Linked DNA regions of Macaca mulatta. The protein of the gene in region 4 interacts with the protein of the main gene of each other region in a pairwise test. Links are inferred from orthologs where the notes say so. Each region holds a gene or a part of one and is shown on either strand. Other genes may lie near its edges. The genes, in order: PIAS2, RBM15, ING5 and NAV2.

Region 1 (5,028 bases), on a different chromosome or scaffold from region 4:
TAGGAACACTGAAATTGATGCTTCATGTAATATTAACACTGAAGCTGATGGTCAGAAATTAACTGAAATCTCCTTTCCATTCATTATTTCAGTTATATAAACAAGTAATTCTAAAATGTAAATTCCTTGTTGTATTAACTGCTATCTCATAATTGACATAATTCATTATAAGACCAAAAATCAGCCGAAAGTCAAGTTCATCAACTTGAAGGTGAAGAGAAAATATTATAATTCTAAATAAATCTTTTTATACAAATGCTCACAGATTATCTGAAATATCAGTTGTTTATATAAAGGTTAGAACAGATTATTTCTAATCACAACATGTGTACATTTAACCATTTCTCCCCCAAACTGATAAAACTTTCCTTGTTCTCTTCACAAATATTTATCATCCAAAGCTTCTAGTTTATTAAAATACTCAACACAACATTACATACAATTGCGGTTAAACCATTACCTTAAGAAATATAAATATGCATATTTTCTTTCCAGGAAAATAAAGAGACGATATTCAAGAAAACTCAGAGCTAAAGTTTTTAACTTTAAGAATCTCCATACTGCCGCCTCTGAACTGAAAATTACTGCTTTTTAGAGATTACAATCCACAAACAAAAAGAGCTGAAGCCAACAGCTTAAGAAAAAACACAGTAAGTCAACCCCCAGTGGGGTCACTGTCCTGCTACCCAAAATGGAGAGCTTTTACCTTCCCAATTTCTGATGCCCAAGAAATGGATATTTGGTTTGGCACAGCTGAAGATAACCTAACTAAAGATGTAATATTCAAGGGGCGTCCAGGGCGCTTCTGTTCAATCCCATTTTTAGGCGGTGGTGCGTAGCCCTATAACCATAAGAAAGAAAAATTATTTCAAATTATCTGCAGGAAGATTAAACATTTTCTCCAAGATAGATACAGGATCCTGCCCAATTTCAGTTACACTATTTTTATTTTAGCCTAAAAATCATATAGCCCTTATTATCATTATCAACCCAAAACAGGAAAACAACCTTTGAAAAAAAGTTACAAAATATTTCACAAGTCCAGAAAGGTAGGAAAAAAATCCATGTCCCATCATTAAAATTAAAGATGCTGACATCTTGCCACATTGGCTATGAATCGTTTTCCTTTTTCATAGGACACCAAGCTTTACAGATAAAGTCACAACTTTTTATAATGATTCATCCTTAGCAATCCCCATTTCAAATACATGCATATATTCGGGGTGGGAAAGAAAGAAAGCAAACTGGGAATTGAGGGGAAAGAAAGAACAAACTAACGAATTTCATTTTTAAAATTTGGTGAGTGATAAAAATATTTTCCACTGCATTTTCTCTGGGTGGAACAGAAATGGTAATCTTTTAACCCAGGTCAAGTTAACAAATAAGGATAATCAGCATTTCAACTGTCATTAAATGAGCTTGATGGCTATCAGATAACACTGCTATTTATGCTTTAATCTACTTTTATCTAGTCATCAACCATTTGTTTTAAATAGCAAGTATACTCATTTCTGATTCGCAGTGTATCCAATTCCCAATTACCACAAGACTTCACTCTGATTTTTCAGAGCCAAAATAATGTATTTTTTAGAAAATTAAAATATCTTAGCTGCAAAAAATCTACATATTGAAAAGTAGATACCATATTTCACTGACGCTAGGATGTCATTGATGTAATTTAATTATGTACTATTGAGAAAGAAAATACTATGTATATATGGCAAAGAAATGGAAGCAAAATGAATTAACATATTCCCTTTTGGACATAAGAATCTTCTGAATCACTTTTCACTCCACCATTAATCCATACATTTTTCCACATAACACTCCCCTATGCACAAGCAGGAATTTCAGAGAAAAAAGTATCTTTTAAAACTGTATTTCATTCCACTAATGTCTCAGATTTCTCTGCAAGTCACTGACACCATTAACTGGATGTGTTAATGGGGATACAATCTGGATCTTATGAGAATCCATCAGTGAAAAGTTTTCAGACAACAGCCAGCATTCATGCTTCTTTCTCAAAATGTCCTTAAATTATTTGTTAACTGAAAAGCCAGGAGTACAGCTAACTAGTCACGCCATGGCAATAACACCAAAGTTGTACAAGTGCAGACAATGATAATACATCACAGCTGACACCTGGTCACCAGCAATTTTAAGACACTTCTGGATTTCAGCAATGCTAAAATATGCACCTTAGGACCAATGAAAACTAGTACTGGTAGTATCACATGGCAAAGAGGACCACACCCTGACTACCACAACTTGGGAACTGTCTCATAAGGGGCAAGACAGTAATTATTAAATGGTAGTCCACATGATAATGTGTAATCTATAACTTGCAAAAAATTTTGAAAGTAATTAAAAATGTTTGAGCAGGGGAGTAAAAGACAAAGAGAAGAACTTAAATAACTTGCACTAGAATACAGAAATGAAAGAGAGAGAGACAGTGTGTGTGAGTGTGTGTGTGTGCGAGAGAGAGTGTGTGTTTATGAAGGTTATGCCCATCTTAAGTTGCTCAAGCGAAAAAAAAAAAAAAAAGTTGCTCAGAAAAAGAAAAAAAAAAAAAACTCCTAAGAAAAGTCCTCTTAAAAAGACTCAAGAAGTTGATTCAATGAGCAACAAGTACAAGGAATATCAACACCAGTATCTAGGTAATTCTGAATGAAACTTTTGTTTTGCCTGTTTTGGGCCTGGAAGATAATTCTGTCTGCTGGTATGTCCACTAGTAGGTTAACCAAATAAAAATGATACAGGGTCTGTCAGGAGGATAAAAATAACTCATGAACTAAAATGTGCACTCTGGAAATTAGAATTTAAGACATAACACAGCCTGACACAGTAGAAAAGGGCAACAGAAGCAGGAAGAGTGACACTCATGTAAGAATGAAGTGTCAGCAAACTCAGAATCATGTTAGTCTCACTCAGTGTAAAGCGTTTTCAATCTATTCTATATCCCATTTGAGTAGTGTGACTTTACTGGTAATTCTGAGTTATATGATAACCTGTATTCTACCTCTAACCATCAGCACCACCCCTACCCAACCATCAATTTCCTGGTTATTGAGAATATATTAATAGTTGGAATTTTATAAAATATAAAGTTTAGCCTTCACACATATTTCTAACAGTTTTCCATATTTAAAGCAAAAATAAAGTCAAGTTCATGTGACAGGGAACCAGTGGGGCAAATCTGCAAGCTTTCTAAGCAAAGGCTGCTGGACAGCACCAGCGGAAGACTTTGTGGTGGTCCTGTGACACACTCAAATAATTTTTTATGTTTCATGCTCTGATGACACCCTACCCTACTTGCAACTGTGACAAAAGTTGTCCACAATTATTCTACTTTAACGTTTTCCTCCAAATTTTCTAATTATCACTACTACTTGAATACTTCTAACACAGATTTACTTTTTAACTTTATGGAAATTTTCAAACATACACAAGAAAGGTACAAACAGCAGGGACCCACCAACCAGGTTCAATAATTATCCACATTGCCAATCTTGTTTCAAATGCTTTTGGCCCCAAAGCCAATCTGCCCTAAAACACACACGCCACAAAAATACACATTTCTTTTTGCCCTTGAGTATTTAAACTCAAATTCTAGACATGCCATTTAACCCAGATATTCAACATGGATCTCTAATAAGACTTTAAAAACCTACAGTATTACAACCCCACAAAAATAACAAGTTTTAAAAAATCACCTAATACCTTGTCTTTCGATTCAGATTTCCCAGGTGCCTCAAAATTTATTTTCCTTTCATCCTTTTATTATTGAAAATTTTAAACATATACAAAAATAGAGAAAAAAGTATAACACGTATATATCTATCAGTTCAGTAATTTACTTACCCATGAACAATCTTTACCTACTGTACCCAACCCCCACTCCAGATTATTTTAAAGCAAATCTCAGATATATTTTCTATTTTCTCCATATGTAGTTTAGTATAGTCCTTTTACGGCTTGAATCAGAATTAAAAACTAGAGCCCCACACCACAGTTATGTCTCTGAAGTCTCGTTTATTCTATAAACACAACCCCTGCCGTCTCCAAACACACACTTTTTCCCCAATGCTGTTGTTCTACTGGAGAAACCAGGACTTTCGACCTGAAGAACGACTTCGCATTTTAGATTAGGTATTTTGCTTCCTCGAAGTATGAGATTTGTTGCTCTATCTCCCATATATTTTTAAAACCACTAATTAGTTGTATAAGCTTGATTAAACTTGGGGTCAAAATTTTAGAAACAAAAAACTTCAGAGAAAATGTTGCATACTTCATATGGTACCACATCATAATGCACAGAAGGTTGTTTGCCCTGTTTTCAGTGGTGTCAAGACTGATTAGGAGTTCAGGGGATGTCAGCCTGATCCCTCCACTATAAAGTTCCCCGTCAAGTTTTGGCATCCATTGATGATAGCTACCTAGACCCATTATATGATTATGAATTGTGGAATAATGATTTTCTAATTCTATTACCCTTTTGATTGTATTAGCCAAAATATTTCCATAAAGAGCTTGACCAAATCAACAGCCGGTCACCTTGAAATAAATGATTCTCTTCCTTAAATCTTCAGAGCAGTGTGTTAGTGCAACCTCCAGTGGCTTATTTTAGTATAATTATTATAAACACACATATTTGATAGTTTTGAGTCTACTATAATCATTATTCTTTCAGATGTCAAAATTATCACTTCTCAGGTAAGGAGGTGCCTCTTCAAATTGGGGTGAGTGCACACAAGTATGTGTTTTAAAAGAAGAAATGTTGAGTTTACGTCAGTCCTGATTCACTGTGAGGCAGGCCATCAGGGTGACTAACACACAGCATCAGGAAACATAAATCCATGAGCTCAGAAATAGAATTTATAAGAAGGGGGCCAGTACTGATAAGTCTTCTGGCTGCACCAAAAGGAACTACTTGGAGATTGTTGCCAGCTGAAGTACAGCACATATCCTCTCTACACTCTTTGGGTCTTTCAAAGAAATATTCTTGTCAACCCTTCTTCCTTCCTTCAA
Region 2 (5,771 bases), on a different chromosome or scaffold from region 4:
AAAATAGCTAAACTGTCCTGATTTCTATTTTAAAGACGTTTATAAAAATATAAAAAAGAAAATGCTACAACTAACAACTAAAAAGAAAATTGCATCTGATGCTGTATCCCATTACACATCACAAAACAGGAACCATGTCAAAGTAGTAAATACAAGTTACACATGGACTTTAGGACGCACCACGGACAATGATCATGACCAGGTAATCTTCTTCAGATTTGGCCAGTGCCTTGGCAGGGGAATCCAGGAACTGCTGGGAGAACTCACAAGGTGGGAAGGCATGAAGGACCCCGGTGTTTTCCTTGTCTTTGTTGCCCCCCACAGGGAGGCTGATCACCCCGGCTGCCTGCTTTTGCTTTAAATAGGACACAAGGTTCCTAAGTGGCCTCTGAGTAGAAGTGGCAGTGTCTGATGCAGCTGAGGAAGAGGAAGACCGGCTGTCAGAACTTCCAGGCACAGCCAGAAGAATGGCATAACCATTGGGCCCTGCTACTTTGATGCGTCGAGTTACTTCATCCAACTTGGGCTGGTCCAAACGGAGACGCTGAGTGATCTTGAGCTGGGCCACTTTGCCTCCAGTTGAACCCTCCACAAGAAGACTACTAGCCACTTGGAGGTCACCCTGCAACAGATGCATGTTGGAAGGAAAGTTGCTGTTCTTCAGTAGAAGCATGCCCTGCCAGGCCAAACAGAGTTTGGGAGAGGCTGCTGCCGCAGGGGCTGTCCCCCCATCCTGTTTCTGGGACGGGGACTTCAGCTTGCAGGAAGCAGTGCTGGTGCTAGGTGCACTCCCATCAGAGCGGTCTTCTTTTTTCAGAGGGCTTTTTCCCTCAGTGGGAGCAGTTGTCCGGTGCTTCCTATCTCGTTCAGCTGATGCAGAGTTTTTACGGTCTCGCTTGTCACCCTGGCTCTTCTCCAAACTACCTCGTCTGTCTCTGATTGGAGAGGGCCTTTCCAAGAGAAGACGGGAAGATCGATCATTGTCGCTGTTGTAACGATCCCGGCTACTGCTCAATTCTGGACTGCGGTCAGGAGAAGGAGCGCAGTGACGTTTTCGTGGGCGGTCACTCTCAGGAGACCTATCCAGATGACGTCCTCCACTCTCCTCAGGCAGCCTTCGCTTCCTAGGCTGGTCTCTGCTGCTGGGCAGATCTCGATCACCTCTGTCCCGGTCCAAGGACCAACCATCCCGCCTGCGATCAAGGCTATCCAGTGGCTCGTAAGCAGGCACAGAAGTAGCTGCAGTCCGAGTGCTGCGTTCTCGGACTGGGGGTGGGGGTGGCACCCAATCAGAGTCAGGATAAAGGTCCCTATCACGATCTCTGTATAGTAAGGGTGGTGTCCTATCCCGAGCACCCCTCAAAGGGTCAGGTGCCCGATGTCCAAAAGCATCTGTCACCAGCTCATAATGAGTCAAGGGCAGAGGCTGCAGATACTGCTGCTGGTAACGATGTTCGGTGTCGGCAAAGTCTACTCTAAGGCGTCGATCTGGGCCACCAAGTGGGAAGCCCCGCATATGGGTCCAGGCAGCATGCGCTGCATCCAGGCTTTCATACTGGATATATGCCCAACTATCACCTTTTCGGTAGTCTATGGTGCGTATGGTGCCAAATCGATCAAATTCTCGTGCCAGGGCAGCAAGAGGAACCCAAGGTCCCAGGCCTCCCACCCAGAGGCGGGTGGTAGGTGTAGCTTTACCATAACCAATTTTGATAGGATTCCGAATTATAATTTTGCCGGACATTGCTAATTTGGCCCGGTGAGACATATCTAAGTTCTCAAATTTGAGAAAGCCGTAAGTACTAGTCTGGCCGCGAGAAGGCCTCTTGATATCTACTTCTGTGATGACTCCAAAGCGATCAAACGCCCTTCTTAGATCATTCTCCGTTACAGTGATGTCTAGGTTGCCCAAGAAAAGCGTCCGGTTAGCTCGCTGATCATCCTCGGGTGAAATCTCATCCACTTCTCTGAAAGGAGCAGCACCTGCTCCAGCTCCCACCCTTGGCTCAAGACTGTATGCAGGGCGCACTCTCTCATAGAACGGGTAGTCTCTTTCTCTCTCCAGCTCTCGAGGCAATGGTGGCGGAGGTGGAGGGGGCAGGCGGCCAAGAGCCAACTGCTGCAGCCGGTAGTCTCTGTATCCTAAAGCAGCGCCACCAGGGGAAAGTGATCTCTGGCCTCCACCACCTCCAGGGGGGTGCCGGTGACCACCTACAGAGGCCCCGACCACGCTGGCTGAAGGAGGATAAGTATCTTTGTCTAAAGGGGAGCGGCTGCGGCGCCGGCTCACATACACAGCTTCTATCTTCAGAGGCCGGTCATAGAGCACCAGGCGGCCTCTGGCATGCTTGGCCGCCCGCGCGTCCTCTGGCCGCCGGAAGTTCACAAAGGCTACCCGCTCATCCCCGCTGCCAGAACCCGACAGATGACTGATTTTGACACTTACATCACCGAAACGTTTGAACTCATGAAACAGGCCGTCCTCCACCGCTTCGTCACTAAGCTGGGACCCCAACTCGCTTATCTTCAGAGTCTTGTATTCCGCGCCGTCCCCGCCGCCGGGAGCTGAGGAGGCGGCCCCAGAGGAACGTGACTCCCCGCCTCCACCCCGGGAGCTGCTGCGCGACTCGCCCCCGCCCGAAGAATTTTTGGTGCTCGGGGAGCTATAACTATGCAAGCGGCTACTGGAGCTGCCCCCACCGGTGTCATACTCGCGGCTGCCACCTCGACTGCTGGACTTGTCCAGGTGGAGACTCCGCCGCGACCCGCCGCCGCTATCGGTCTTTCCGCTGCTGCTCCCATTGCTGCCACCAGAGCCCCCTAACTTCTTGCTCCGCTCTCCGCGGGAAGTCGAGTCCTCACCACCACGGGAGCGTTTGGCCTTGACTGGCGAGCGCTCTTTTCCCTTCATTGTTGCGGGTCCTCGGAGGTCGTCTCCGCGGAGCTGATCAACCCGCCGCCCCGCGCTCGTTTCACACAGCGGAACCGCACGCCGCCATCTTGGACTCCGCCGCGGCACAGGGTCCCGCCCCGCAGTCCTCATTGGCCAATTAGCTCTCTCTTCTACAGTCTCATTGGGAAAATTATTTGTCTATCTTTACATCTCCCCGCGCTCCAGGAAGGCGCCCGCCCAACCACTGTTATTGGGTTCCCAACCCCCTAGTCAGAGTACCTCATTGGTTACATTTGTTGTCTATCTTAACGGTTCCTCGCGCCAGGCTGTAGCTCCGCCCCTCGCACTCTGCGGTCACGTGACCCAAAGTGTAGCTGTGTTGATTGGACAAAAAGTCTGCCCTGTAACGGTACTTCTTGCTCAGTGAAAGCAGCAACCCCGCCTCCTCATCCCTTTCATTGGCTTATAAACCCGTCCTTTAAACCACTATTTGGGAGGTGGGGCCAAGTTTCGGCGTTTTTTCGAGAGGCAGGCTCACAGCGATATCGCGAGAGACGGTGAGCTCCCTCTTTCGACCCCCTTTTTCCAACTCCTCCGGCGGCTAAAAGAAGTTTAAATCTGATTGGATGTCTGCAAGGAAGTTGATAGGCTGAAGTAACTGTCCATCACTCGCTTAAAGGGGTAGGCCCATATAACGGAGGAGGCTGACTGAAGGTGAAAGACTAGAACACGTGCTTGCTATGCGACGTCACTTAGATGTCGCGAGAGGGTGACTGTGCGCCAGCCCCGCCTCCCCGCGTTTTTGGCGTTCTCCCCACAAACATTTGTTAAGTTCCGTGGGGTATTTGGCTGTGCTTCGGCCCTTGGAGTTCGAAACTTCTGAGCTCCCCGCCGTCCTACCTGTGCCGGCCAAGGGGCGGGGCAGACTCTCCGGCTGTCGGGGCCCTCCAGTCCCTTAGGAAGCCGTCCTGGGACGCCTAGCGGACACCATCTTATGTCGCTGTGGTAGCTGAGTGTACAGCCGGGGGAAGCCCCGCCCCCCGCGCGCGGGATAGCGATGCCCGCGGTCACCTGGGCCCGCGGGGCAGGGAGTTCACGGTTCCTGCAGCCCCGGGTCACGCTGACGCCCCGGGGCGGTGCTAACACGTAACACGCGGGACCTCGAGAGCTAAGTAAGGTGGCTGAGACGCAGCCCTAGCCCAGGAGCTTGTCTCCCCCCGGCGCTCCCCGTTGCCGCCCAAGTACTCTGGGCAACCGAGGGGAGTGACCGTCGATCCCCGCCTCGTGGCCCGCGGGCGGAGCCGGAACTGTCAGGACACCGCGGACGTGTCTTTGGGCTGCCTGTTTTATGTTGCGAATCTGTGTGGATTTTTAAATCCGGTATTCCCGTAAAATAGCAATGTTTGTTTTTAATATGTAATGCTTCTTCCCTGAAAATCATCGAGCGAAATTTAGGCTCCATGCAGATATGTCGCTTTTTATTCCCCCTGTGGCTTCTTGTATTCCTTGGCACTCCTCTTTTTGTGTGTTAAAAGCCAGCAGCACAGGCACCTTGTGGCCGCTCCGGATCCACTTCGTTTGGCTCCTTCTGTCGTTCGCCTTACAACTTTAATTTCCATAGAGCGTTACTGTGGCGGACAGAGCACCTGTGAGAGGTGCAGGCGATGCCGAGCTTAGGGGGATATGGCCTGTGCCCCAGCACTCGCCGGTTGCTGCAGGGACGCAGCGCTGAGGTCACCACATCCTTTAGACCGTCTGCAGCTCTCCCGGGTATGCGCCGGGGCGGAGGTTATATTGATCCCGTCCTCAACCCTATTTCCCAAGATCCAATCTATAGTAGAGGTGTGAGGTGTTTTTAAACATGACATTTTTCAGGATAACAATAATGTCCCAAAAGCTGAAACCTAAACTTGAAAACTGTTAATATTAGGAACTGTAACCTAAATTTAGCCTTGGCTGAGCCATCCTTCTTTTTGTAAATAATCCTGAGGAATATGAAGCTGTAGGCCTTTTATCTCTTGAATAAATCAAAGAAACTTGAAGGAAGAAGCTCAATTGTAAAGCATAAAAATCCACAATATTGTAATGTGTAGACATATTCATTGTATTAAAATAGGAAATAAAACTTCAGAAGGCATAAAATAACGTGTATAATACGCTACCATTTGTGGTTTTAAAAATATTTGTATTTTATGAGTATGTACATTTAAAAATATTTTCGTGGAAACTTTCTTGACAACTACGTGGGAAATTGTTCCTAGGATTGCCCTGAGGAGGGGTGTAAGGATCTGGAGTCGGAGGGAGACTTCACTTTTCTTTGTAGAAATCTTTTGTTTCTACAAAGGGCGCGCTATTACTCCTTCAGTTTAGAAAATAACATTTTTAACTTTCCTTAAACTATTTTTATGGAAAAAGTTTAAAATACATAAAAGAATAAAGAACTCCCACGTGTACCCAACACCCTACTTCAACAATTATCAAATCATGTCAATCTTGTTTCATCTGCATCACTCTTCCCACTCTTCCTTTCTCCATTGTTTTCTGCAGACTTACCTGATATACATTTCCTGCCCCAGTTGTGGAGTCAGCCATTTCTCCAGAGAGCTCTGGTTCCTTTTAGTGGGAAATGGTATTTAAAGATAAAAATCTGGATGCTGGAGGATAAAAAATACATGAACATATTATTTGTAAAAGCATGAAATAAAAGAAAAAGTTTTACCTGGGTTTAAATGTTTCAGGGTTATATTAATAGACCACAAATGGAAATTGAAGTTAAGCCATTATCTAATTACTCAATATAACAGTCAATTGAGATAATAAACCAGGCACTAGAGTGACTTTTTAACCTAAATTGACCTGCTAAGGTGACTCACTGATC
Region 3 (5,642 bases), on a different chromosome or scaffold from region 4:
TCTCCACTAAAAATACAAAAAAAAAGAAAAATTAGTCGGGCACGGTGGCAGGCACCTGTAGTCCCAGCTACTCAGGAGGCTGACGCAGGAGAATGGCGTGAACCCAGGAGGCGGAGCTTGCAGTGAGCTGAGATCACGCCACTGCACTCCGGCCGGGGCGACAAAGAGAGACTCCGTCTCAAAAAAAAAAAAAAAACAAAAACCGGAGTTAAACACCAAAAGGCCAAAAAATACTACCAAACTTTTAAAACAATGCACACACTACATACTCTGAAAATTGAAAATTTATAAAAGAAAAAAAATGGCAATAAATATTTTGATTGGAAAGGGTGATGGTTATAAGAGCATGATATAAAGATGTGTAAGAACCCAAGAAACTAAATGTGGCTTTGAAAGTATCAACACCTACTGCAAGACACTGGGTGATACCCACAGCCCAGGGCTAGGCCAATGCCCCACTAACCTGGGTCCCCTCAAAACCCTCTGCCCCCAGCCTTCAGGAGCTGCTGGCTCCCAGCTGTCAGAACCCAGTTCTGGTTGTACTGAGAGGCCTAAACCCACCTTCTGTCCTCTGGTCCAGCTCTCGCATCAGCTGGAAGTTCCTCTGAAGTTCGCAGGGAAGGTTCTCGATACCTGAAACACAAAAACATGGAAGTCAGGTACCTCTCAGTAGCAGGACAAAAATTCACCTTCAAAGGTTGTTTTGTCTTTTTTTCTTTTTTTGAGACAAAATTTTGCTCTTGTTGCCCAGGCTGGAGTGCAGTGGTGCAATCTCGGCTCACTGCAACCTACACCTCCCGGGTTCAAGTGATTCTCACGCCTCAGCCTCCCGAGTAGCTGGGATTACAGGTACATGCCACCATGCCCGGCTAATTTTTGTATTTTTAGTAGAGACGGGGTTTCACCAGGTTGGCCAGGCTTGTCTCAAACTCCTGACCTCAAGTGATCTGCCCACCTCAGCCTCTCAAAGTGCGGGGATTACAGGCGTTGAGCCACCAGGCCTGGCCAAAAGTTTTATACTTAAAGTTTAAAATGACAAGCCCACTCTGTCTTCTGTTTCTGTTAGGGTTTGGGGAGCGCCAGGATTGTGATATCATTTTTTGACTTAGGTACCAAATAGTGCTGATAAGAGGCTAACACACTTCAAAAGCTGTCAGAAGTCAAAGAAGGGAGAGGGAAACTTGGAAACCAACAGCAGAGGCAGAGGAGGCCACCTGGCCCCACCCTCTAGGCTACCCCACCTCAGGGAGCAGCATTCTCCAAGGCTCAAGCCAAAATACCCTGGGTCCTCCTTGATCTTCCCCGACTTTACCCAGAAATCCAGTGCATCGAGCAGTGTAGCCACGCTGTCCACGCGACTTTATGCAAGGATAGAAGTGTTTTCTCTCTCGGCCGGGCGCAGTGGCTCACGCCTGTAATCCCAGCACTTTAGGAGGCCGAGCAGGCAAGTCAGTTGAGGTCAGGAGTTCAAGACCAGCCTGGCCAACATGGTGAAACCCCGTCTCTACTAAAAATACAAAAATTATCTGGGCATGGTGGTGCACACCTACAGTCCCAGCTACTCGGGAGGCTAGGGCATGAGAACTGCTTGAACCCGGGAGGCGGAGGTTGCAGTGCGCTGAGATCACACCCTGCAGCCTGGGCAACAGGGTGAGACTCGATTTCAAAAAAAAAAGAAAAAGAAAAAAGAAAAGAAATGCTCTTTCTCTGAGCTGCCCAAGACAGTGGTGGCCATCCCGAGCTACTGAGCACTGGAAATGGAACTAACGCTATTCAATTTTTAATTTTACTTAAATAGTCCCTGTGGCTATCGCAATCATCCCCAACAGTCTGCCAGGAAGACCCCCGTGCTGTTTTCCAGTCTGCACTGATATCCCCTAGAGCAGGCCAACCTCCGCCCCCTGCACAGCTGACACAGGCTCCTGAGGGGGGCTGCCTCTTCCGGTCTTGGCCACCCTCCTATCTGCTGTTCACAGTTACCAGGCAATCATTTTAAACCTAACGCTATCTTATGCATCTGATGCTTCCAGCCCGTGTTTTCCCAGGTCCCCTAGAGGACAGAGGCGCAGCCTCCCAGGCACACACACAGTCAACCCTCGTTGGGAGGCCAGCCCACTGGCTGGGCACCAGGATGGAGAAGGCTTCTCCTCCAGCGTGCTCCCGGGTTTGACTCTTCTACCCGGGGAACCCCCCACTACTCAGACCCCCACGAGACAGCAGAGCACATGGGCAGAACAGGGCGTCCCCCTAGGGCAAGGGTCTCCAACTCCAGGCCACGGCTCACTCGCCACTGTCTCAGCTCCTGGGCGAGTGCCAGGCCGAAGACCATGAGGATCCCCAGTGCAGCGCCCACATAAGGGCCCTCCAGAGTCACCAAGCACAACCCCAAACACCGCGACCCCAAAGCTGTGCCCATTCCGGGCCGACGTCAGGGGTCCCGCGTGGGCTCTGCCCCTCTACGAGCGGGGGACCCTGAGCAGTCTGCTGGGCAGCGCTGGGCCTTCCCTGGTCTGTAGAGTGAGGGAAAGCACCATCGCTCAGCCGCTGGGGGCGCCGACCTGCTGCCACCTGGACACAGCACCGCCCGCCCACCAGGGCCGACTCGGCGCCGCCCTCCCCGTCTCCGAGCTGCAGTCCCCAGGGCCGGGGAGAGACGCCCCGTGGCCCGCACGCCCTCCCCAGCCGCGGTCACACAAGAGGCCGGCGCACAGCCAGGCGGGGGCCCAAACCCCGGAGCCCCCAAGCCCCGGAGCCCCGCAGCGGGTGTCAGCTCGACCTGCAGACCGGACGGGACGGGCGGGGCCGGGAACGGGCGGGGCCGGAGCTGGGGGCGGAGACGAGGCGGGGCCTGGGTGGGGGCGGGACCTAAGCTATGGGCGGGACGAGTCCGCAAGCCCCGCCCACCCGGCCCCGCCCCGCCGTGACGCACCTGGAATTGGCGCGGCCGAGCCGGCGGGACCCCCCTCGCCCGCCCCCCGCGCCCTCCCCTCTCTTGCGGCCCTGCCCCGCCCCGTCCGCGCGCCCCAAGTCGCACCCGGCAGCGCCCGCCGCCCTCCCGAGCCCACGGGGTCTGCATGCGGTGCCCGGCGCGCGGGGGTCTGCGGCACTGGGAGCTCCGCGTGGGCGGCGGGCGCGGGGCCCGCGGAGCGCGCTTACTGTCGAGATAGTGCTCCAAGTACATGGCGGTCGCCATCTTCGTCCGCGGCCGCGCTCGGGGTCTGCGCGGGCGGGCGGTGCCGCGGGAGGCGGGGGCGGGGCGGTGCCAGCGCGCTCACTATTCATGAGACGCGCGCGCTCATTGGCCGCGGTCGGGGGCGGGGCCGGACGCGCCCCTAGGCTTCCGGCGGGCGGCGGGCTGCGGGGCCCGGGCGGAGGTCGTGGTGGCGGCGTCGTGCAGCGAGCTGGACCCAGGGCCGCAGCAGATCGGAGGCCGAGGAGCAGGGGTTCCCGGCCCCGCCGCCCGCCGTACAGCCCAAGGCACCGAGGTGGGCGTCTCCCCTCCGAACCTGCCAGCGACCCCAGGGCCACCAGACGCCAACACGTGGCCCCGGAGACCTCGGGCACGTCCTGACGGCGCTGCTCCCGGCCAGGATCCCGGCCAGGCCGCCACGAGGCCCCACCTTCCCGAAGGCTCCTTGGGGCCTGTCTGGCTCAGCGCCTTCCCTCCGGACCCCGAGCCTCCGGGGCCTCAGCCCGGCCTGAGCCGAGGGCCGGCACCGCGTGGCCGGAGCGAGCTGTCCCCTCCCTCAGGGCCTGGACCCTAGCGCCCTCCCCGGGCAAGGCCGCCCCTTCCCTCAAAGGAAAGCGGCCGCCCCGCCCAGCACCAGTGAGGGCACCAGCTCCTTTGCTGCCACCTGTCGAGGCAGGCAGCACCCGCACCATCTGGATGCCTTGGCCGAAACGGCACGTGCAAGCAATATGATATAGTTAATAAGATGGCGTGCAAAGGTGTGCAGTAAGATGCATGCAAAAATACTGGAGAAGGCCGGCACGCTGTGTCACGCCTGTAATCCCATCACTTTGGGAGGCCAACGCGGGCGGATCACTTGAGGCCTGGAGTTTGAGACCAGCCTGGCCAACGTGGCGAAACCCCGAGGCTATTAAAAATTAAAAAAAAAAAAAATTAGCCGGGCGTGGTGGTGCACGCCTGTAGTCCCAGCTACCCCGGAGGCTGAGCCCGGGAGGCAGAGGTGGTAGTGAGCGGAGATCACGTCTGCACTCCAGCCTGGCCGACAGAGCAAGACTCTGTCTCCAAAAAAATTTTTTTAAAGAAAAAAAAATACTGGAGAAACATAATTAAAATATGTTTAGGACTCTGAGCGGTGGCTCGCGCCTGTAATCCCAGCACTTTGGGAGGCCGAGGCGGGCAGATCACTTGAGGGCAGGAATTTGAGACCAGCCTAGCCAACGTGGTGAAACCATGTCTCTACTAAAAGTACAAAAATTACTGGAGCGTGGTGGCGGGCACCTGTAATCCCAGCTGCTCAGAGACTGAGGCAGGAAAATTACTTGAACTTGGGAGGTGGCGGTTGCAGTGAAACGAGATCACGTCACTGCACTGCAGCTTGGGTGACAAGCGCAAGACTCCGTCTCAAAATAATAATAATACAAAAATTAGCCAAGCATGGTGGCAGGTGCCTGTAATCCCAGCTACTAGGGAGGCTGAAGCGGGAGAATCGCTTGAGCCTGGGAGGCGGAGGTTGCAGTGAGTCGAGATTGCACCACTGCACTCCAGCCTGGGTGGCAGAGCAAGACTCCATCTCAAAAGTAAAATAAAATTGGGCAGGCGCGGTGGTTTACGCCTGTAATCCCAGCACTTTGGGAGGATGAGGCGGGCGGATCACGAGGTGAGGAGACCGAGACCATCCTGGCTAACAGGGTGAAACCCCGTGGATCATGAGGTCAATAATTCGAGACCAGCCTGGCTAACGTGGCAAAACCCCATTTCTACTAAAAATACAAAACTGGCCAGGCACGGTGGCTCACACCTGTAATCCCAGCACTCTGGGAGGCCGAGGCGGGTGGATCACGAGGTCAGGAGATCTAGACCATCTTGGCTAACACAGTGAAACCCCGTCTCTACTAAAAATACAAAAAAATTAGCCAGGCGTGGTGGCGGGCGCCTGTAGTCCCAGCTACTCGGCAGGCTGAGGCAGGAGAATGGTGTGAACCTGGGAGGCGGAGCTTGCAGTGAGCCGAGATTGCACCACTGCACTCCAGCCTGGGCGACAGAGCGAGACTCCGTCTCAGAAAAAAAATACAAAACTTAGCTGGACATAATGGCTGGTGCCTGTAATCCCAGCTACTCAGGAGGCTGAGGAAGGAGAATCACTTGAACCCGGTACGTGGAGGTTGCAGTGAGCTGAGATCGTGCCACTGCACTCCAGCCTGGGTGACAGAGTGAGACTCCATCTTAAAAAATAAAATAAAATAATTAAAAATGTTTAAATATTAGTTTTTGGGGGGATTCTTCTCTGCCTCCTAACTTTGTGTAGCATCATCATGCAGTGTTCACCAGTACCCATGTTTCTCCTCTTCCCACCTCACAGCTGGACACCCCCAAGCTGGGACTCCAACTCATCTCTGGCAGGTCTTTAATGGGTGAAGTGTGTGTCACTTCCCAGTCCTGTCTCTATTTTCTG
Region 4 (5,028 bases):
AAGGAGAATCTTCTGGGTATAGATATTAGGTGCTACTGAGTATACACAAATGTATCGTATACCTGGACTTATCCTCAGGGAGGGCAGTGTGGCATGGTGGTTAAAATGTGAGCTTTGCAGTTAGACTCCCTGAAATCCCTGCATCTCTACTTCCTCACTGTGTGATCTTGGGAAATTTTCTTTTCACTCTGTGCCTCAGTTTTGTCATGTGAAATTGAGACTATTAGCTGTAATTTCCTCATAGGTTTTTGATAAGGATTAAATTTAATGATACATATCAAGCACTTTAGCTTAGTGCCTGGGACATAGTAAGTACTTAATAAATTGTAGTTGTTAATGCTACTAGTATTAGCACCATTACAATTTGATTGGGGGGGAAATAAGTATAGGAACATTAAAAGAATAAATAATGCAGTAACCCAGGATGTGGCATGTGCTAAATTTTCAGTAACTCTTAGAGCATATTAGAATATGTTAAAATGTACTTGAATGTAAGCTCCATGAGGTTAATGATTTATACTTACTCATTGCAGTATTCCTAGTGCGAATCAGCTTTCCTGGCATGTAGTGGCACCCAATAAATATTTGTGAAGTGAATGTTCCAAAGCCAAGTTATTTTCTGCCTCAGGGCCTTTACACATGTGGTTCCCTCTCCCTGGTATGCTCTGCCCCAAACCCTTCTTTTACTAAGTAAGTTTCTTCTCTTTCTTTAGGGTACTTCTTTTTGAGCTGATCACTGTCGCCTGCCCACCTCATTGTCATCTAAATTAGGTCAACATCTATATTTCTTTCTCAGACTCTTTGTCCTTTTCCTTATAATAGTCTTCGTAATCTACAATTACACCCTTGTTGGTATTTATTTATTCAATCTCTGCTGCGTTTAACTGAATCGTAAGCTCCACGATGGGTGGGAAATCAGTCTTACCCCCAGATTCTCTGACCCTCCGTGGTGCCTGGCAGACAGCAAGCATGGAGTAAATTCTGGTTGGATTAATGTGCTGAAAGTGTTTAGAGGAAGGAAACTGACCTGCGGTAGTTGGGACAAAGAATGGGCAACTTTAATTTCTGTGAGACTGAGATAAAGGTATAAGAGTACTTGGTACTTAACCCTTTCTGATTAAATAGAGGCTGAGATCAGATAAGATAATTTTGTTAATGTCTGTTGTGGCCTGAAAAGCCTGTGTTCCTTGGCTGGTTCCTTGGCTCACTCATTCGCTCTTCAAGCTTTGAGTGAGCTCCTGCCCTGGGCCCACATGTAGGAACTCCCCTCTCTCTGTCCCTTGCCACAGCTGAATGATGAGCTTCTCATAGTCAGGAAGTGTGTGCTTGTCCTCCTCATATCTCTGATGACTAATACTTAGCTAGAAAAAAACAAATGAAAGAACTCATAAGGTGTCTGTAATGGACAAGTGGAATTCATAAGGGGAGAAGGCGTTGGGGTGGTGTGGGGGAGGCAGTTGAACTTGGGCTGCCTATCTGTTTTTAGCTTTTATCCCATTCAGCCATTGTATTCTATGGAGGAAGGCATTTGTTCCATTCTTGGATGACAGACGTTAGGCAGATTCTTGCCAGGTGTTCATTTTAATTTCCTATCTTGCCTACTCTCGGTAGTTAAGCATTGCAAATACGGGACTGGTATCTTAGTATACCCACCCTGAAAGCGCTTCTGACCTCCCTTCCCCATTTACTGTGCTGACATCCTCCAACTAGCCTCAAACCCCAGGAGGCCTCCAAAGCATTCTGGTCAGCTTTATGCCTTTTAGCTGCAGGAGATCATTAACGTCACACTTCTGTCCCCTTCTGGGTTTCATGGCCAGCAGGTCAGGGCTCTTCCAAAGAAAGCTGGCTAATTATATCCCTTGTCAGAACAAAATCCCACAAGGGGAGCAAAGCAGTGGTGTATAAATAATGCTGGGATCGGAGCAGGCACCATTGGCTCTCCACATTTGGGGGAAGTATCATTTGAGGATGTGCTTCCCCTCTGCTCCTGGCTCTCCCTGATTTGAGTAGAACCAGCAGCCACCCTTGCTCACTTACTCCCTTGCTTGGTGTGTTAGATCCAAAGATCTCACTGCGGTGGAGTGATGGGAAGAAGGCAGAACAAAGGGAAACGGGCCAGGAGACTGGATGCTGGTTAGAGATTAGCATCCAGAGTTGGAGAGGCTTGTTCAAGTGGCAGAAAATAGGTGGTGGCTGAATTCCCACTGCATCTCCATCTGCTCTGCCCCTTCCCCTTGATAGGGCGCTTTCCTTCTTTTTTCCTGGGCCCCTTTTCCTCTCTTCCCTGACTCCTTTCTTTTGCTTTTCTTTTTGTCTTTTTTGAGACAGAGTCTAGCTCTGTCACCCAGGCTGGGGTACAGTAGTGCAATCATGGCTCACTGCAGCCTCCACCTCCCTGGGGTGATCCTCCCACCTCAGCCACCGGAGTAGCTAGAACTATAGGTGTGTGCCACCACACTCAGCTACTTTTTCTATTTTTTGTAGAGACGGGGTTTTGCATGTTGCCCAGGCTGGTCTTAAACTCGTGGGATCAAGCGATCCTCCCACCTCAGCCTCCCAAAATGTTGGGATTATAGGCATGAGCCACTGTGCCCGGCCACCTCATTCCATTCTAAGGATACATTGATATTATTTACTTTCCTCGGATCAAAAAAAAAAAAAAAAAAATCAGGCTTTCTGACAAGATAACCAGAGTACAAAAGTCCAAACATCTTTAAAGTAATGATTATTTTTCCCTTAACTACTCCAGTGTTTTGGCATTTTTGCCTTTGGAGTGAGGGGCTCCCCAGCCTGGGACTTGGGAAGGACTAATTCAGAGAGTCTCTGTCCACAGACTGATGCTGAGAAGCACTCACAGGTGGAGAGGAATTCACTGTGGTCTGGTGATGATGTCAAGAAATCAGACGGAGGCTCAGACAGCGGCATAAAAATGGAGCCAGGTTCCAAGTGGAGGCGGAATCCTTCTGACGTGTCTGACGAGTCCGACAAAAGCACGTCCGGCAAGAAGAATCCTGTCATCTCCCAGACAGGCTCATGGCGGCGAGGCATGACAGCTCAGGTGGGCATCACCATGCCAAGGACGAAGCCGTCAGCACCAGCAGGCGCACTGAAGACCCCGGGAACTGGTAAGAGGCCGGAGCTGTCTTGGCCCTACAGTTGTCATTTGGAAAACCAAAGCCATAGTTAACTCTAGCAAGGACTTGACATTATATATTTTGTCTCAGGATTTATACTCTGCTAACAACAAGCTTCCATAAACTTTCACATCCCTACCTTTTTCTAAGTGGAAGTAAGTATGGGAGCCTCTTAAGCTCTGAAGACGGTTCGGCTGCTGAGACGTATTGAATTGGTTTAACTAGACACTGGGTGAGTTAATGCAGCCAGTTCAGGCTACTAAACAGCATGGATTTATGAGCTGTGGGTATGGTGAGTTGACGTTGTTCCTGACTTAGGGGATATTTATAAACAAGGGCAGGGGTATCCCCCTGGACATGTTAGGGACAGCCCTTTAATGGACAGAGGGTGAAAGGTCAGAAAAGGCAGGGGGTTATTTCCCCCCAGACATATCAGTGATTGGCTGGCTTTGCTTTATCCCGGGTAAATTTAGACTGCTTTGCGAATGAGTAAAATTATTGACATTTCCTAAAAGGTTCACAGTACATTAGGAGACTATATTATTTTTATAAAAAGCTCTTTCCTCTGCCTCCCCAAGGGAAAAGTGAACCAGCTCTTCAGAGGAGGGGGGCATCTTAAACAGACGAGATGGATGAGCTGGGCTCTTGGCTTGCAGGCTAATCTTGCTGATCTCTCTCTTAGGAAAAACAGACGATGCAAAGGTGTCTGAGAAAGGACGGCTTTCTCCTAAAGCCTCCCAGGTGAAGCGCTCCCCATCAGATGCAGGCCGGAGCAGTGGTGACGAATCCAAAAAGCCCCTCCCCAGCAGCTCTAGGACACCCACTGCCAATGCCAACAGCTTTGGGTTCAAGAAGCAGAGTGGTTCCGCCGCCGGTCTGGCCATGATCACAGCCAGTGGGGCCACTGTCACCAGCAGGTCAGCCACACTGGGCAAAATCCCAAAGTCGTCTGCACTCATCAGTCGGTCTGCTGGTCGGAAGTCAAGCATGGACGGGGCTCAGAATCAGGATGACGGGTATCTGGCCCTCAGCTCCCGGACAAACCTTCAGTACCGGAGTTTGCCGAGGCCCAGTAAGTCCACCAGCCGGAATGGGGCTGGGAACAGGTCTAGCACCAGCAGCATAGATTCCAACATCAGCAGCAAGTCCGCAGGCCTGCCAGTGCCCAAACTGAGGGAGCCTTCCAAAACAGCCCTAGGCAGCTCTCTACCAGGTCTGGTCAACCAAACAGATAAGGAGAAAGGCATCTCATCCGACAACGAGAGTGTGGCTTCCTGTAACTCGGTGAAAGTGAACCCGGCAGCCCAGCCTGTGTCCAGCCCGGCTCAGGCTGGTCTCCAGCCTGGAGCCAAGTACCCAGATGTGGCCTCTCCCACACTCCGCAGGTAAGTGAGTACATTAATGGTGCTGAGCAGAACCAGAATACAGGGAATGGATTTAGTAATTTCCTGTTTCTTAGTTGAAGCACCCTCTGTTTTTCTCCACTTTAGTCCTCCGGTAAAGCTGTTTAGGCAGATCCTGCCGACGGTTTTGCAGTTGACTATTTTCCCATGTTGGGATGAAAAAGTTAGGCCTCTGGAATCAATCATCTTGGAATCAAATCTTAGTTCCATTTTAATTAGCTGCCATATAACCTTTCTTAACAATTCTGCCTTAGTTTCCTCACCTGTAAAATGGGGATGATGATACCTTTTTGTCAGGGTTTTTGTAAAGATGCATCTTTGTAGTCATGTCTGGTCGTAGTATGCACTCAATAGAAGATAGCTACCACTGGGCACAGTGGCTCATGTCTGTAATCCCAGCACTTTGGGAGGCTGAGGCAGGCGGTTCACGAGGTCAGGAGTTCGAGACCAGCCTGGCCAATATGGTGAAACCCCATCTCTACTAAAAATAC

Evidence for each region.
Region 1: the proteins of NAV2 (region 4) and PIAS2 interact in binary tests that used the Homo sapiens proteins (3 or more experiments, as listed by UniProt). The two-hybrid records come from large-scale screens. The link is inferred for Macaca mulatta from reciprocal best matches to the Homo sapiens genes NAV2 and PIAS2.
Region 2: the proteins of NAV2 (region 4) and RBM15 interact in binary tests that used the Homo sapiens proteins (3 or more experiments, as listed by UniProt). The two-hybrid records come from large-scale screens. The link is inferred for Macaca mulatta from reciprocal best matches to the Homo sapiens genes NAV2 and RBM15.
Region 3: the proteins of NAV2 (region 4) and ING5 interact in binary tests that used the Homo sapiens proteins (3 or more experiments, as listed by UniProt). The two-hybrid records come from large-scale screens. The link is inferred for Macaca mulatta from reciprocal best matches to the Homo sapiens genes NAV2 and ING5.

The regions. Positions count from the first base shown.
Region 1 is NC_133423.1:45,529,307-45,534,334, reverse strand, and holds part of PIAS2 (E3 SUMO-protein ligase PIAS2), read right to left. Parts: intron 842-5,028; coding exon 707-841; intron 1-706. UniProt on the Homo sapiens protein: Functions as an E3-type small ubiquitin-like modifier (SUMO) ligase, stabilizing the interaction between UBE2I and the substrate, and as a SUMO-tethering factor.
Region 2 is NC_133406.1:129,853,067-129,858,837, forward strand, and holds the start of RBM15 (RNA-binding protein 15), read right to left. Parts: upstream 3,915-5,771; 5' UTR 3,044-3,914; coding exon 181-3,043; intron 1-180. UniProt on the Homo sapiens protein: RNA-binding protein that acts as a key regulator of N6-methyladenosine (m6A) methylation of RNAs, thereby regulating different processes, such as hematopoietic cell homeostasis, alternative splicing of mRNAs and X chromosome inactivation mediated by Xist RNA.
Region 3 is NC_133417.1:146,980,827-146,986,468, reverse strand, and holds the start of ING5 (inhibitor of growth protein 5), read right to left. Parts: upstream 3,212-5,642; 5' UTR 3,194-3,211; coding exon 3,157-3,193; exon of another isoform or gene 3,035-3,156; intron 634-3,034; coding exon 562-633; intron 1-561. UniProt on the Homo sapiens protein: Component of the HBO1 complex, which specifically mediates acetylation of histone H3 at 'Lys-14' (H3K14ac) and, to a lower extent, acetylation of histone H4. Component of the MOZ/MORF complex which has a histone H3 acetyltransferase activity.
Region 4 is NC_133419.1:45,373,988-45,379,015, reverse strand, and holds part of NAV2 (neuron navigator 2), read left to right. Parts: intron 1-2,833; coding exon 2,834-3,125; intron 3,126-3,816; coding exon 3,817-4,519; intron 4,520-5,028. UniProt on the Homo sapiens protein: Possesses 3' to 5' helicase activity and exonuclease activity. Involved in neuronal development, specifically in the development of different sensory organs.